Oryctolagus cuniculus: one gene and its partner. The protein of the gene in region 1 purifies or fractionates together with the protein of each later gene. This does not show direct contact. Links are inferred from orthologs where the notes say so. Each region holds a gene or a part of one and is shown in the gene's direction. Other genes may lie near its edges.

Evidence for each region.
Region 2: the proteins of TCOF1 (region 1) and ARRB1 purify together in Homo sapiens (affinity purification with western blotting; 5 studies listed by BioGRID and IntAct, with this or other methods). This does not show direct contact. The link is inferred for Oryctolagus cuniculus from reciprocal best matches to the Homo sapiens genes TCOF1 and ARRB1.

What each region holds. Positions count from the first base shown.
Region 1 is NC_091437.1:37,673,129-37,680,570, forward strand, and holds part of TCOF1 (treacle protein), read left to right. Parts: intron 1-868; coding exon 869-984; intron 985-2,343; coding exon 2,344-2,457; intron 2,458-2,769; coding exon 2,770-3,007; intron 3,008-3,510; coding exon 3,511-3,593; intron 3,594-4,461; coding exon 4,462-4,642; intron 4,643-6,425; coding exon 6,426-6,965; intron 6,966-7,442.
Region 2 is NC_091432.1:66,413,186-66,420,627, reverse strand, and holds part of ARRB1 (beta-arrestin-1), read left to right. Parts: intron 1-1,170; coding exon 1,171-1,306; intron 1,307-2,013; coding exon 2,014-2,098; intron 2,099-2,394; coding exon 2,395-2,467; intron 2,468-4,659; coding exon 4,660-4,797; intron 4,798-5,499; coding exon 5,500-5,583; intron 5,584-6,996; coding exon 6,997-7,020; intron 7,021-7,442. UniProt on the Homo sapiens protein: Functions in regulating agonist-mediated G-protein coupled receptor (GPCR) signaling by mediating both receptor desensitization and resensitization processes.

The sequences.
Region 1 (7,442 bases):
CTGGAGCTAGGGTGCTGTATCAGTGGGCTGTCAGGAGGGTATTGAGGCACTTGTCTCATTAGGTGATCCCTAAACAGGAACTCTTCGGGGAGGGACTGCGTCAGCAGAGACAGGACCAGCTCTGGGGTTTGACTTCTGAGATTCTTTGCTTCTACCAGTGATAGCAAGAAAATGGTCGATGTCACCATTGTTGATGTTACACTTTTACGAGGAAGTAATATCTGATAACTGGCGAGATAGTTGAGACATACAGGTTAGCACAAAAGAAGACAACACCCCCTGTAATCCCACTGCCCCCATCACTGTTGAGGGTTTAGTTGCTAACCTTACAAAACCCTAGGGTGGACATGTTTGTCTTTAAAGTGAGGCCCCGGGATTCTGAGTGGCTATCTCGGGATGCTGTGGGATTTTGGTCCTCCTATCCTTCCCGCGTGGTTCCTCCTGGCCAGTGCCCTGTCAGAGGACGCGAGGGTTTGGTGGGGACTGTTGTATCCGCTGCTGCAGTGAGCAGCACGCAACCACAGACACTTTGGGCGATTTTCGTGAGATGTTGCAGCCACAAGGACGGCCCTGGCCGCCGCCTGCCAGCCTCTTGCTCAGGAGCAGCAGCCTGGCCTGCGGAGAGGCGAGCGGAGGAAAAGAAACTCACTGCCATAGCAGCTCTTCGGGCCCCCTCAGCCCAGCTGTGACACAGGGACAGCGCCCGCCTGGCAGGCTCGAGGAGGGGCTATGCCAGCTTCCTCCTGTAGAAGCCCTGAGCGTGGCACAGGGCCCCAGGAAGGGCTGAGTGCTGGACTGGGGTATTGCCAGTGCTGGGGAGGCCGTGGGGCTCCTGGGCACTTACTTGCCCCATCCCTCTCTTTTTCAGCCTACAGAACCAGCGTGGTGCCCACTGGCCACCCAAGGACAGGCCTTGGGGCCAGCGGCAGCGAGGAGAGCAGTCGGGTGTCAGAAGGCAAGAAGCAGGAGACACCAGCCCCGCAGGTACCTGCACAGGCCTGTGGGGCAAGGGGCTACAATTGGCTGTCACTTGCACACTTGTGCACCCCGGCGGTGGCAGTAGCCAAGGCCTTCCTGGTCTTGTGGCCACAGCCCGCAGGTTTCAGAGCCACCTTAAGCTGTCAGGAAGAGCAGTCTGGGGACACAGCTCTGCTGGCCAGTTGCATTTTTGTTTTCTTTGCATGAACATGATAAATGCTCTACTTAAGCATGTGTTATGGTGACTTTATCAGTCTCCCTGACAGTCACCATTTCAGTGCGTGTTTGGTCCTTGCCTGAATCTCAAGACTGCGCAGGGCAGGATTGGTGGCCCACTATCTCAATGTTGAAACTAGCGTGCACTCCCCAGGGGCCTCCAGTTTGACCGGGCCTGGGCTCGGCAGACCTAGCTCTTGGCCCTCAGCATCTTTGGCCATACTAGTCTGCTGCCCATCGCCTGGAGAGATGCCCACTGCAGACTCCATGCCTCTTTCTGAGGCACTGGTACCTGGGCATGCCCCCCTCTCACTGGCTCTTCACGAGCCACAGTCCAGGGAGAGTTTCTGGGAGCATGGGTGCTGGGTGGGTAGCCAGGCTGGGGTCACAGCCCCCAAAACCCTGTATCCCTCCATGCCAGGCCTTGGGGCTGAGGCCAGAGCAGGACGGGGAGGACAGCAGCCATTAAACAAAAAGTTCTCACCAAATTGGAGGTGCTGCAGAGGGCACCAAGCGCAAGCTCAGGATGATGGGGTGACCTGCTATAGGAAGTTGGGCAGGGAATGCTCGCCCGGGAGGTGGCCTTGAAGCAGGGGACGTGGCCGCGTACAGGGTGTGCTGGGGTGCCATGCAGGCAGGAAGGCCATGGTGCCATGACCCCAGGCCTGGGAAAGCATCTAAGAGAAGGTAGGGAGAAAGTAGCAAAGGCAGAGGGGCTGTGCGACAGCTGAGGGGCCCTGCGTGGGAACCTTGAGGCCCTCTGCAAGGACTCTCCCAGCTTTGAGTTCTCTCCAAGTGCTGGTGGGTGGAAGAAGTAGGAGTGGTACCAGGGAGACCACGAGGCATGAGATGGGTCTCCGAGGAGGGCAGAGACTGAGTGTGGAGCTTCCTGTAGGGCCCGGGCCCCTTCCCTGCTTTGGCCTAGGAAGCTCGCTCTGTGCTTTGAGAACACGGACCAGCTCATAACCTGAGGCCTGGCACTCCTTTCTCTGCCTAGAGAGTGATATTGCTCTTATGACTGTCCCTCAGCCCCCCAACTCAAGTCCCATGGTCCCCTCCCACCGCAGCCAGACCTAGTCTGATCCAGGCACGGCCTAGGTGACACCCCAAGAACCCATGAATTTCAGGGCTGCTATTTGCTATCCACAGGTGGCAAAGAGGAACCCAGCATCCCTCCCGCTGACCCAGGCTGCCCTGAAGGTCCTCGCGCAGAAAGCAAGTGAGGCCCAGCCTCCTCGTGCCAGGACCCAGTCTTCAAGCGGGGTGAGTCTGGGGAGCCCGGGGACCACACCGCCTCGCTTTGCTCCAGAGGCAAGGCTGTGTTCACCTTTCAGCCCCGCCACAGGGTGCAGATAGGAGGCTGCGGGTGTGGCCGAGTCCCGGCCGCAGGCCTTGCTGCCCTGGCACATCAGTGCTGTCTCGATGTCCCTGGGGCACGGTGGGCTGATATGGGAGAAGGACTTGCAGGACCCCTCTTCAGAGTGGTGGGAAGCATCTCAGGAGGCCCAACACTGAAGTGTTCAGGCAGGACCAGGTCTTACCCTGATACTTCCTTCCATTCTTAAACCAAATTAGGTTGACGGGACTGTGGGAACACTCCCCGTGACGAGTCCTCAGAGCGCCGCTGTCCAGGCCAAAGTGACCAGTAACCTCAGAAAAAGCAAAGGCCAGCAGACCACAGCCCCTCCCTTGGGACACCCCAAGGCCAAAGCCCCTGGGAGTTCAGATGACAGCGAGGACAGCAGCAACAGCTCCTCAGGGAGCGAGGAGGGTGCCGAGGGACCCCAGCTGACCAAGTCGACCCCCAGGCCAGGTAAGGTGCGGGGGGGGGGGGGGAGGGACGGGCAGCCCAGGGGAGAGAGAAGCGCACCTAATGGAGCAGCAGGCCGTGGCCTGAGCTCTGGATCTCGAATTTTTCCATGGCCTGGGCCAAGTGGTTGCACGCTGGGCTACAGCTTCCCCGCCTGCACAACTCCGTGAGGGACTCAGTACAAATGATTTCAAAGACCTGACCCCTGGCAGCGTTTTGATATGCTCCCTTTAATGACCAACTCCCTAAAATTCCGGGTTCGTGTTTCCCCGACGAGGGAAGGTGGGGAAATATGAGTGGTGTCTTGGGAATTAGAAACCAAGGCTTGGGCGTTGAGGTGTCACCTGGAATGCTGTGGATGGGGACCCATAGGAAGCCTTGGGCAGGTGGGTGAGGACACACCCAAGATCAGGGCCTCCCCAGGCCCTTCTGAAGAGCTCTGCTCTGCCCTGCCCAGCTGGCAGGAGCCACCAGGGACTCCCGACAGGATACCTGTGCTTCTCCAGCAGGTTCAGTCCCCGCTGGGAAGGAGACCTTGGTGGAGGAGACCTCCGAGTCCAGTGAGGATGAGGTGGTGGCGCCTTCCCAGGTAACTGCGGGGCGGGGGACAGTGTTGGTGACTTCATGCGTCTTGGGCCGGGAACCCCGGGCCAGAATCTGATCTGCCTTGCGTAGTCCTAGGCTGAGGCCGACCCCGGGCAAGGTCCCGGTTGCAAGCCACCAGGTGTGGCCCAGGCAGCACAACACAGCCAGGCTGCTCCTGCCCCAAGGTTGCACTCAGCTCAGAGCTGCAGGTTGTCAGCCTCTGGGGCTGTAAGAAAGACTGCGCTGCGTTCTGAGTGGCGCCAGGCAGAATGCAGGGGGCTGCCCCTGTCCGCGGCACGTGCTGCTGATGGTTTGCTTTTTCTTAGTTTTTGGTTTTGGTTTTCTTTGTTTTGTTTATCTGAAAAGCAGAAAGAGACGGAGGTGTCTTCGTCAGCTGGTTCACTCCCCAAGTGACCGCTATAGCCCAGACTGGGCCACGTGAAGGCCAGTAGCCAAAAACTCAATATGGGTCCCCCACGTGGGTGACGGGGACACAAGTACTTGAGCCATCCCCTGCTGCCTCCCAGGGTGCACATTAGCAGGAAGCTGGAATGGAGAGCAGAGTTGGGACCCTAACCTGGGCACTCCCATATGGGATGTGGGCGTCCCACGCAGCAGTTTAACTGCTGTACCAAATACCAAACCTCCGTTTGCATTTATAATAGGAGATTTCCTTTTTAAACGTGTCTGCATTGATTAAAATAATTTAGAAAGTGTACACGGAAGTCCCCCTTGGGGACTGTAGTGTCCACTCTGCATTGACAGGCCTGGCCTGGACCTGGATGTGCCAGGACTGGCTTCCTCCCAGCAGGCCGTGTGGCGGGGGCAAGGTGGGGTGGGCTGGCGGCCTCTTTCACACTGGGCTTCTGCAGTCTCTCCTCTCAGGTTATGTGGCTCCTGGGCTGACCCCAGCCAATTCCCAGGTTTCAAAGTCTACTCCCAGGCCAGACTCCAACCCTTTAGTTTCCTCTACTCCGGCTACCAAAGATGACCTGGATGGCAAGCAGGAGGCAGAGCCACAGCAAGCCGTGGGCACTGTGTCCCCTAAAGCAGGTGAGTTAACAGACACAGCAGGATGTGGGAAGACAGGGCCGTGGGTCCCTTCTTGCCCTGCCCCAGCAGCACTCCCACCAGTACCTGTCCAAGTGAGGCCTTGTGGTTCTGCCGTGGGCCTGGAGGAGCTCATCCAGGCACAGGGATTGTCTGTGGTCTGGGGTGGCCTGACGTTGAGTTGTATCCTGCCCCGAGGGGGTGATATGCCTGTGGGATGCCCCTGCCTAGAGGAAGCAGCATCTTCGGCCTGTGGAGTGGGCCTTGCCTTTCTCTAGCCGTGCTTGCTGACTCGTCTTCCCAGCGAATGGGCTCCTGGGCCCGTGTGGGGCTCAGACCAAAGGGTGGGCCATGTGTGGAAGAGTCTTGGCACATGGAGGACACTCTGGCTAAGGGGTGGCCCCCAGGCTGTTCCGCCTTGCCCTAAAGCCTCCCAGCAGGCCATCAGCCCCTGGGCCTGTGTCTTAACAAGGCAGGGGTCAGTGTCTCTGGTCTGAATCAAGCTGTGCCCCCCCCCCCACCTTGGAAAATAGCCGCATGATATTTGAAGAGTAGACCAGAGGACTGAGGTCACCCGACCTGGACATTTGTCATCCCTGACACTGCCAGAGCTACAGGGCAAGTGTCCCGGATGGACACACCTACGACAGCACTAGGGGTTCCTCAGCCTCCACGTTCAGAGCCGTTTGTGGATAAGGAGCAGAGCAGTGAGCTCTGGGGCAGGGGCTGTCAGGGCAGATGGCAGAGCAGTGAGCTCTGGGGCAGAGGCTGTCAGGGCAGATGGCACACTCAGCTTTCCTTTCCAGATGGCTCTTGCCCTTGCCAAGAGTCCCCAAAAGACTGGATCGGGCTTCCTCCGGCCGGCGACCCCCACACGGGGCTGGGGCATAGTCAGGCTCCCTGCACACCACAGGGAGCAGCACCAGCCTCGTGCGACACAGAGTGCCCTGCTGGGCCTCTCCCAGTGGACCTGTCCAGGGCTGGTGTGGTGGAGCCCTGTGCCGCGTGGTCCTGGGGTCAGAGGCAGCACTGGGGTCCAGTCCCCCGGCTTCTCGGTGCAGCTCGCCCCGGGCTGGGTCAGGAGCAGAGCCACTGCTCACTTTCTTCTCCAGTGTTCTCCTTGTTGGAGGCGGGTGCGACAAGGAGATGTTTTAGAGGGGGCTGTGGAAGGTTTTTTTAACACGTGTAGTCAGCACACAATTATCAAAGGCAGGCAGAGGCGTGGAAAATTCTAAACAGAGGCTGTACCAGAAGTCGCTCTGGCAGGCAGTGAATCTGCTTAGTCAGCCACCACGTGTGCGCCAGGACACCTGGCACCGAGGCGATGGGCCCACCGTGTCAAGTGGGCAGAGCCATGCGCCTGCACGGCGTTCACTTCCATTGGGAGTCCACTGCGGATGACAGGAACCTTAAGACCAGGAGGAGCAGAGGCTGGCCAGAGTCACAGCAAAAAGGGGTGGCCTAGCGTGGCCCAGAACCCAGGCTCCAGCCTCCAGCTACACACGCGGTTTGCCCTGGCCTGCCTTCCACGTCCCAGTTACGCTCCAGCTCTAGGTCGGGCTTGTCTGAGTGGAGGTTGGAGTGAGAGAGAAGCTGTAAGTTAGAAGTGAGGTCAGTGTAGGAAGCTGGCAGAGGCGTGGGCTTAGGAGCCAGATTGGGGCGCAGTGACCCGTAGGCTGCACTTTCCTCATCGGTGCCATTGTCGGGAGGCAGGGTCTCCCCGGAACCTCCTCAGCTCTCATACCCCCAGCTCCCATAGGTCTGACCCCAAGTTCTTTCTCCACAGGTAGAAAACAGGCCACCTCTGGAACCACACCTCAAAAGCCCCGGAAGCCCAAGAAGGGCGCCCCGGGCACCCAAGCCTCAATCCTGCCAAGCAGCATCACCCAGCGCCTCCTGGGCGAGCCCTGGCCCCTGAGTGAGGCCCAGGTGCAGGCCTCGGTGGTGAAGGTGCTGACGGAGCTGCTGGAGCAGGAGAAGAAGAAAGCCCTGGACGCCTCCAAGGAGAGCAGCAAGAAGGGCCGCAAACGCAAGCTGGTGGTGGACCAGCTGGCCCCCAAGGCCCCCAAGAGCAAGAAGAAGAAGCCGGCGGCGGCTGGGGAGTGTAGGGAGGGCGCTGATTCTCAAGAAAAGGCCTCCCGGACTTCCAAGGGGAAAGCAAAGAAAGACAAAGCGAGTGGTGATGGCCAGGAGAAGAAAGGGAAGGGGCCTTTTGGCTCCCCAGGGGCCAGGGACAAGTCAGAAGGGGAGCTCGGAACAGCGAAGGTTGAGGGAGGCGATCAAAGCAACTCGAAGAGCAAGAAGGAGAAGAAGAAATCTGACAAGAGTAAGTGACTTGATATCCTCAGGCCACGCTAGGGGCTGCCAGGGACCCACAGGGCCAGGAGGCTCAGCGCTGGTCTCTCTCCCACAGGGCGGGTGAGGACAGGCTGGGAAGTGGTTTGTCCGGGATTGTGGAGACAGCTAATAGCAGGCAAGATGGGATTCCAGAGCACCTGGTCAGTGCTGCCAGGGAAGCCCCGGGGCGGCCTGCTTCCCTGCCACCTCCCTGAATGCAGAGGGGACCCGAAAGCAGAACCCCTGAACCTCAGGCCCAGCTCTGCCCTCCCGGCCTGTTTCCCGGTAGTAGCAGCGGTCTTGATCGAGCTCTGTGCTAGGCTGCGTGCCCCGGGACTTCCTTTCACCCTCAGGCAGTTGGGGTAGGCCGTGCTGTTTTTTAAAAAAGTGTGTAGAAGTTTTAAATTACAGTGAGTTAATGTAAAATAGTCATGGTGGACGTTTGGTACACAAGTTAAGGTACCAC
Region 2 (7,442 bases), on another chromosome or scaffold:
CCGGCCCATTTCCCTCCTGGGAGGAGGCGGTCAGCAGGAAGGGGGTGTGTGTGTGTGGTGGGGGGTCTCAGAGGCTTCTGGGCAAAGGAGGACAGGAACGGGAGCCCCCCAGGATGAGGGGAGGGGACGTGAGCCCCTGCCTCAGAGAGGAAGCTTCCTCCTGGAGGGCACAGCCCAGTCTGGCAGCACGGACAGCTGGCCCTGCTGGCCCTGACCCCTCACCCCGGCCCTCCCAGGGCCTCCCTCCTGAGGCACCATGGGAAGCTTCAGCTCCCCCCGCCCCAGTTAGTGGGCTGTGTTTGCCACCTGGTGGCCACAGGGTGTACTGCAGGCATTTCCCTCTGGCCCCCTCAGTCCTGGTGTGGGGAGACCTTTCTCCCTGCTTCCCTGCCCCCTTTGCCTCTTGACGCCGGGTAAGGAAGGGTGCAGTGGACAGGGGGACGGGGCTCAACCGAGCAAGCAAGAGGAGGCAACACTGAGCCGCCACGCTCAGCCCACCCCCACGGGACCGCTCAAGTCCACACCAAAGGGTTACTAGGAGTAGTGATGTGCAGCCACCATTGTCCAAGGACTTACTAGGTGATGGACTAATGCAATCCTCTCGGTGACTCGACTGGGTTGGTCTGCTGCTGTCCCCACTTTGCAGATGTAGAAACTGAGGCCCAGGGAAGCAGCACAGTTAATAAGAGGGGAGGTGGGTGCTTGGCTCTGGCTCTCCAGTTCCAGGGGAGGGAGCAGTACGGGTGCTCACGTGTGTAGCATGCCACAGAGACCGCAGCATATGGAGTCTCCACGCTCTCACTAGCTCCGCAAGTCCTGGCTGGAGCCGGGTCCCCTTCACTGAGCCCATGTCACCTGTGGGCTCCGTCTCTCACCGATTGCCCCCTCGTTCCTGGCATGCTCCCCATGCCGAACCCCAGCTCCTCCTGGGCCCTCTGCATGTGTTCACTTGGCAGATACGGGGAATAAGACAGAGACCAGCGTGCCTTCCCCAAAAGCAGCTGCCCCAGGTGGTTCTGGGACGGAAAGAATTGGCGGTGGGGGATTATGTCAACTTCCTGAGGCGATGGGGCCTGGGGGTCTGCGGAGCAGAAGAGGGCTATGGGGGACACGAGGAGGGGCCCGGGGCGGGGGACTCTGGTCACCTTTCCCTCCTCCCACGTCTACCAGGAACTCCGTGCGTCTGGTCATCCGGAAGGTTCAGTATGCTCCAGAGAGGCCCGGCCCCCAGCCCACGGCTGAGACCACCAGGCAGTTCCTCATGTCAGACAAGCCCTTGCACTTGGAGGCCTCCCTGGATAAGGAGGTAGGGAACGCGGGCCTGTGGGCAGGGGGCTTGGACCTCAGACCTCAGCTCTAGGGTCACAGGTCAGGCCATCTCAGCTCTCCCCTGGGAACATGAGGAAGCCTCCCAGGGCCTGGAGGAGTGGCAGAGGGGAGCAGTGTCAGTGGGAGGGGCCGGGTCACCCCTCCCCCCAGTGAACACCTGGGCAGCAAGCTGCACGGGAGGGAGAGGGCGCCCCAAGCTCCCAGCTTCCTGATCCCTTCCTTGAGCTGTGGGCACCTGCTCTGGCTCTTGGGGGCAGCTGCAGGCGGGTGCTTGGGACAGGAGGCGGGCTGAGGCACCCTCTGCGAGCGGCACTGCCCTCCTCACCCTCCCCGGTCTGAACACCGTCCACACCCCCACACCCCCTCCCGCAGCCTGAGCCAGCAGGGACCTGAGCCGTGGCCCTCATCACACAAAGACCCTGAGGCCCACGGTCAGGCTGCTGTCATGGTCACTGTTGTTCCCAGGGTTATGAGTGGCCAGACTGGGACTGGGGCCCAGGACCACCACCTGCTCACCTGGGCGGGGTCTGGGCAGCGCCCCGCTGGGAAGCTGAAGCTTCACGGGCGTGGTGGCGTCCATGCCGCCTGCACTTAAGCGCACTGCGGCCGCAGGACCGGGGATGGCGGTCTGAACAGCCGGGTCTGGGGGGCCTCCCCGCCAACCCTCTCCTCCCGCCTTCCCAGATCTATTACCACGGGGAGCCCATCAGTGTCAACGTCCACGTCACCAACAACACCAACAAGACCGTGAAGAAGATCAAGATCTCGGGTACCCGGTCGGGGGCGGGCGAGGAGGGATGGCCCAGGGACCTACCTGCCCTTGCTAGCGGCCTCCTCCCTGCCAGCTTCGAGCCGCGGGCGTGGTGCTTGTTGGTGCCTCCGGCCTTCTATTGGCCAGGTCACCTGTCAGTCGCCTGTGTCTCCTAGGTGTCCCGGGTTTGGGGCGGAGCTGTCCCGGAAGGGAAGGGGGGGGGGTCTCAGGCCACGCCACTGGGGGGCAGGATGAAGGTGGTCTCCCCTCCGGCTGCCCCAAGGGCTCACGCACCTTGCTGTCCCCTACCGCAGTGCGCCAGTACGCAGACATCTGCCTCTTCAACACCGCGCAGTACAAGTGCCCTGTGGCCATGGAGGAGGCCGAGTAAGTGAGCGGATGCCTTGTGCTGGACACGGGAAGTGTTGGGAAAGGAGTCCTGGGCCCTGACCTTCCTGCCCCGCAGGGTGGGAGATGCAAGAGCCTTCCAGAAGGCCATGAAAAGTTCTCTAGTCGAGGGAAAGACCCGGAAAAACAGAAATGACAAAAGAAAGGCTGGTGAATGTAAGGGGACTGGAGCTGTGGGGAGGGGGAATCATACAAGGTCAGAAACCCAGGTTGAAGGGAGGACTTGGCACTGAGCTTCCTGGTAGCCAAGGCAAAGAGGGTAAGGCAGAGGGTGTACAGCTTTTCCCATGAAAGGAGTCATTTGGGAGGGTACCCCGAGAAGTTCTGGGTTTGAGGGGGGCTGCTATGGCCGCAGCAGAACTTCGTCCCCAGCTTGGTGCCAAGGCAGGAGCAGAGACTGCAGGTGAAACATCTTTAATTACCTAAACGCAGTAGGCGCTCCCGTTAGAAGTTCCTGCAAATATTTTTTTTGGCAGTGTGCCTTATGTAACCTCACACACTTGTATATGTTTACATATAATTGCAGTCCGGATTTCTTCAACTCAAAACATTTTGAAAGTATTACCACGTAGTCCTTGGCTAGTTTCTCCTGTCCCGTGGGTGAGCATGCCCTGATCAGAGCCAACACTGCTCTATCATTGGCTGTTTCTTACAGTCACCATTCATTAAGACAACAATAACAGAGCCGCAGGTGCATAGAGGTAAAGTGATGGGACCCAGAGCCCGAGCAACACACAGGGTGACTTCAAACACTTCCTGGAAAATGGAGTCAACAGATGAGTGGACGGGTTCAAGTCCTGGCTCCAGCTTCCTGCTGATGCCACACCTGGGAGGCAGCGGGGGCTCAAGGGTGTGGAGACCTGGATGAGTTCCCAGCTCCTGGCTTAGTCTCAGCCCCCGAGGGCCCCCGAGGGGAGGGACCGGCAGAGGGAAGCTGTCTCTGTCTGTCTCTGTCTGCTTCTCAAATAATAATTTTCAAAACATAATTAAAAGGCTGGCTGTGGCTCACTTGGCTAATCCTCCGCCTTGCGGTGCCGGCACCCCGGGTTCTAGTCCTGGTTGGGGCGCTGGATTCTGTCCCGGCTGCTCCTCTTCCAGGCCAGCTCTCTGCTGTGGCCCGGGAGTGCAGTGGAGGATGACCCAAGTCCTTGGGCCCTGCACCCCATGGGAGACCAGGAGAAGCACCTGGCTCCTGCCATCGGATCGTGGAGGCGCGCCGGCCGTGGCGGCCATTTGGGGGCTGAACCAATGGAAAAAGGAAGACCTTTCTCTCTGTCTCTTTGTCTCTCACTGTCTAACTCCGCCTGTCAAAAAAAAAAAAAAAATTGAAAGAGAGGTTTATTTTGGTGCAGAAAGTTTGAAATACACACGCAGTTTGCTTCGAGTGCACTTTTGCACGGACTTCCTGAAGGCCCCTCGCCTGCTCTCCCAGGCTGTGCAGGGCGTGCCAGCACCCGCACAACACACAGCGGGAGGCAGAGGTGGCGGTGGCCCAGGCCATGTGTGCATCGGAACTGGGCTCCCAGACACATGACTCACTCACTTGGCCTCGCGGAGCCGCGGTGCGCAAGCTGGGCCTGGGCCTGGCCCTGGGCAGCAGTGGGGGAGGGCGGCTGGCGCAGAAGCAGGTGAACATGGGACACTTAAGTGCCCTGTGTGTGATGGACAGACCCAGGACAGACAGAGCAGCAGACTCCGGGTTTTCTGTACTCTGTTAAGAGGCAGACAGAGCTCCTGGCTGCTGGGTCCCTCCCCAGACGCCCACCACAGGTGGCAAGGATGGAGGCAGGGGAGGGGAACAGCCAGGAACTCGGTGCAGGCGCCCATCACTGAGCCATCCCCGCTGCCTCCCAGGGCGCACGGTGCACACTGCAGGAAGCTGGGCTCAGGAGCTGGAGCCCCGTTGCGAATCCAGGCCCTGCAGTGAGGGAAACCGGCGTCCCGAGTGGTGTCTTAACCAGCAGGCCGCGTGCCCGCCCCCAGCAGGTCCTCGGTGTAGACCATAGACCGAGGTGGCGGGTGCGGGGTGTGTGCGGTGGCTTTTAGTGCAGTGTACCCGGCTGGACCGTGTATGTCGTGGGGCAGTGGTCTGCCTGCCCGGGGTGGGGCCAGGCTGGGTGTCCTGGCAGGGGGAGGGGGAACGAGTCCACACCTGCCTCTCTTCCTCCCAGCGACACTGTGGCGCCCAGCTCAACGTTCTGCAAGGTCTACACGCTCACCCCCTTCTTGGCCAACAACCGAGAGAAGCGGGGCCTCGCCCTGGATGGGAAGCTCAAGCACGAGGACACGAACCTGGCCTCCAGCACCCTGTGAGGCCCTGCCCCCCACCCCCACGCCTGCCGTGCGCCAGTGTGAGGACAGAGCTTGGGCTGCCCTTAGGAGCTCGACCTGTCAGGGAGGCTGTCCCCCAGACTGCTAGATCCACTTGCCTTGCTCTGTCAGTCACTCGGGGGGAGGCAACCTAGAAAGGCTTCCTGTAAGAGGTGGCAGCTGCTGACCCGCAAGGCTGGGAGGAAGGCAGTGGCGCCTGGAAGGGCCCTGGCGGCAGAGGGTGGACAGGAGGGGTGGGGTGGCGAGCTGGGCCACACGAGGTGTGGGCTGCCCCAGGACCACGTGGCTGCCCCTGTCCCTCTGATTCTCCAGGCCTCTCTGCTCTGGTAAGGCCCTGCGGGAGAAGCAGTCATGCCACCCTCCCTTGGGGACTTTGGTCCACTCTGAATGTGGTCCCTTGGCTCTGGCTACACTGTGTCCTCACCACCCCCGCCTGGACTGCCCGCTGACCTGCCTGCTCCCTGCCCCTGCCCCCCACCCCCCACTCCCGCCATCCTCCAGGTCTCCCAGAAGGCCTTCCCTGAGCCCTGGCCCCTGGCCCCCGTGGCCGCTGGCTCCCTGGAGGGTGGGAGGAGCAGGGCTGCGGCCAGGGGAGGGAGGCCCGTGGGACACGGTGGCCGCTGCCCCTACTGCCGCACACCCACATCGGCCTCCCAGCCAGCTTCCCCTGTCGCCCACAGGATGCGGGAAGGGGCCAACCGCGAGATCCTGGGCATCATCGTCTCCTACAAAGTGAAAGTCAAGCTGGTGGTGTCACGGGGCGGGTGAGTGCGGGAGCTGAGCCTGAGGGCACCCAGGGGCCGTCCGCGCCCACAGCCCCCGCCCCCCTCCCCTGCCTTCCGGTCCATCTTCTCGTTCGCAGCAGGATTGGGCACGAGGCTTCCTGTCCCTTCTCTTCCTCCTCCCCATCCTCACCCTCCTCTTTGTGTCTGGAGCGTGCACTGAGGGTCGGCCAGGGCCCCAGGGGAGGACATCCATGCTGGGGGTCCCGGGGGGACTGAGCCCCTCACCCACCTTGCAGTGCAGCACCCACCCCACTCCCGCTGGGGACATAGCCCAAGGGACTCAGGCAGATTGGGGGTTTGCTGGCTGGCCTGGCTTTCCCGTTTTACAGGGCAGGAAGCTGAGGCCCACAGTTTGCCACCCCCATGAAGGTCAGGGTGCGGCCTGGGTGTCGGGGTCACAGCCGGGGACCAGGTGCTTCCTTGCCCCGAGCAGAGTTCGTCAGTGGGGACTCAGAGCAGCCCTCCCCTCTCCCCACGTCCTGGACGGACGTGTTATACACCGGAACCGGGATTTCTCACGGGTCAGAGAACTTGTTCTGACTTAGTTTAGGAGTGTCTGTAGCGAGGTTGAACAGCCGTGTAGGGGCAGGTGTGCAGCGGGTTGAGGATGCCCGTGCCACAGCACCTGCGTTTGAGGCCTGGCGCTGGTTTCCTGCTGATGGGGACCCTGGGAGGCGGCGGTGTGGCTCAGAGAGCTGGCTTCCTGCCACTCACACAGGCAGCCTGGATTGGGTTCCTGGCTCCTGGCTTCGGCTGCCCTCGCTGTTGCAGTTCAGTGGGGAGCGAACCAGCGGATGGGAGTTTTCTCTGTGTCTCTGCCTCCCGGATAAATGAATAAAAGCTTAAAAGAGAAAAGAAAAGCTAAATCCATTAGACATGGCGTCTCCTGTGCAGTGCTCCTGGTGAACCACAGGCAGGGCAGGCAGCACTGGAGTGGGTTTTTTTTTTTTTTGCAGGGGGAGGGAGGAGATCTTCCACCCCCTGTTCACTCTCCAAATGGCATCAACAGCCAGCTCTGGGCCAGGCTGAAGCCAGGAGCCTGGAACTCTATCCGGTCTCCCACATTACTTGGGCCATCACCTGCTGCCTCCCAGGCGTGTTAGCACGGAGCTGGGCGGGACTCAGACCTGTGCCTCCGGTGTGGGATGTCGCATCGCAGGCAGCGGCTTGGCGCCCTGTGCCACCGTGGCGGCCCCGGAGCTCACGTGTGCACCTGCTTTCCGAAGGAAAGGGCCTGCTGAGCTTGGCAGTGCGCCCCCAGGGGAGGGGGGCGTGTATGTCCCAGGGTCTGCTCTGTCTGAGGGGCAGCAGAGGTGGTGAATGAATGTGCTTTCTGTTTTTTCCTCTCTCAACTCTCCTGACCACTCCTCCTGCCTCCTCTGACCCACCCAGCCTGCTGGGAGATCTTGCGTCCAGGTAATGTCCCTCGCTTTGGCCTGGTTGATTACCTTCCTGCAGGGCCCAGATACCCCATGGAGCAGGGGCATGGGGCGCTGGGTTGGAAGGACCCTTAGTGGCCGTTTCAGATGGCCAAGGTCAGGTGCGTGCTGATGCCAGAATGCTCTCGAGAAAGACACAGTATCTACTCAGGAAGCTGCGCCCTGCTAGTCCTCAGCTCTCGCCAGCAGCAAATCACTGAATTCCCGAGCTACTGGATTACAGGGTATTTAGAAGTGCAGGCTTTGTGACTTCCCGACTTGCCCGCTGGTGAGCCAAGGAGAGGCCCTTCGGGGAGCCACATTTGTGCATGAGATGGCCTGGGTGCCAGCCGGATAGACCCACCCTCCTAAGATGCACGCCCTGGCTTCTCCCTGGCCAAGCATCCCTGGCCAAGCATC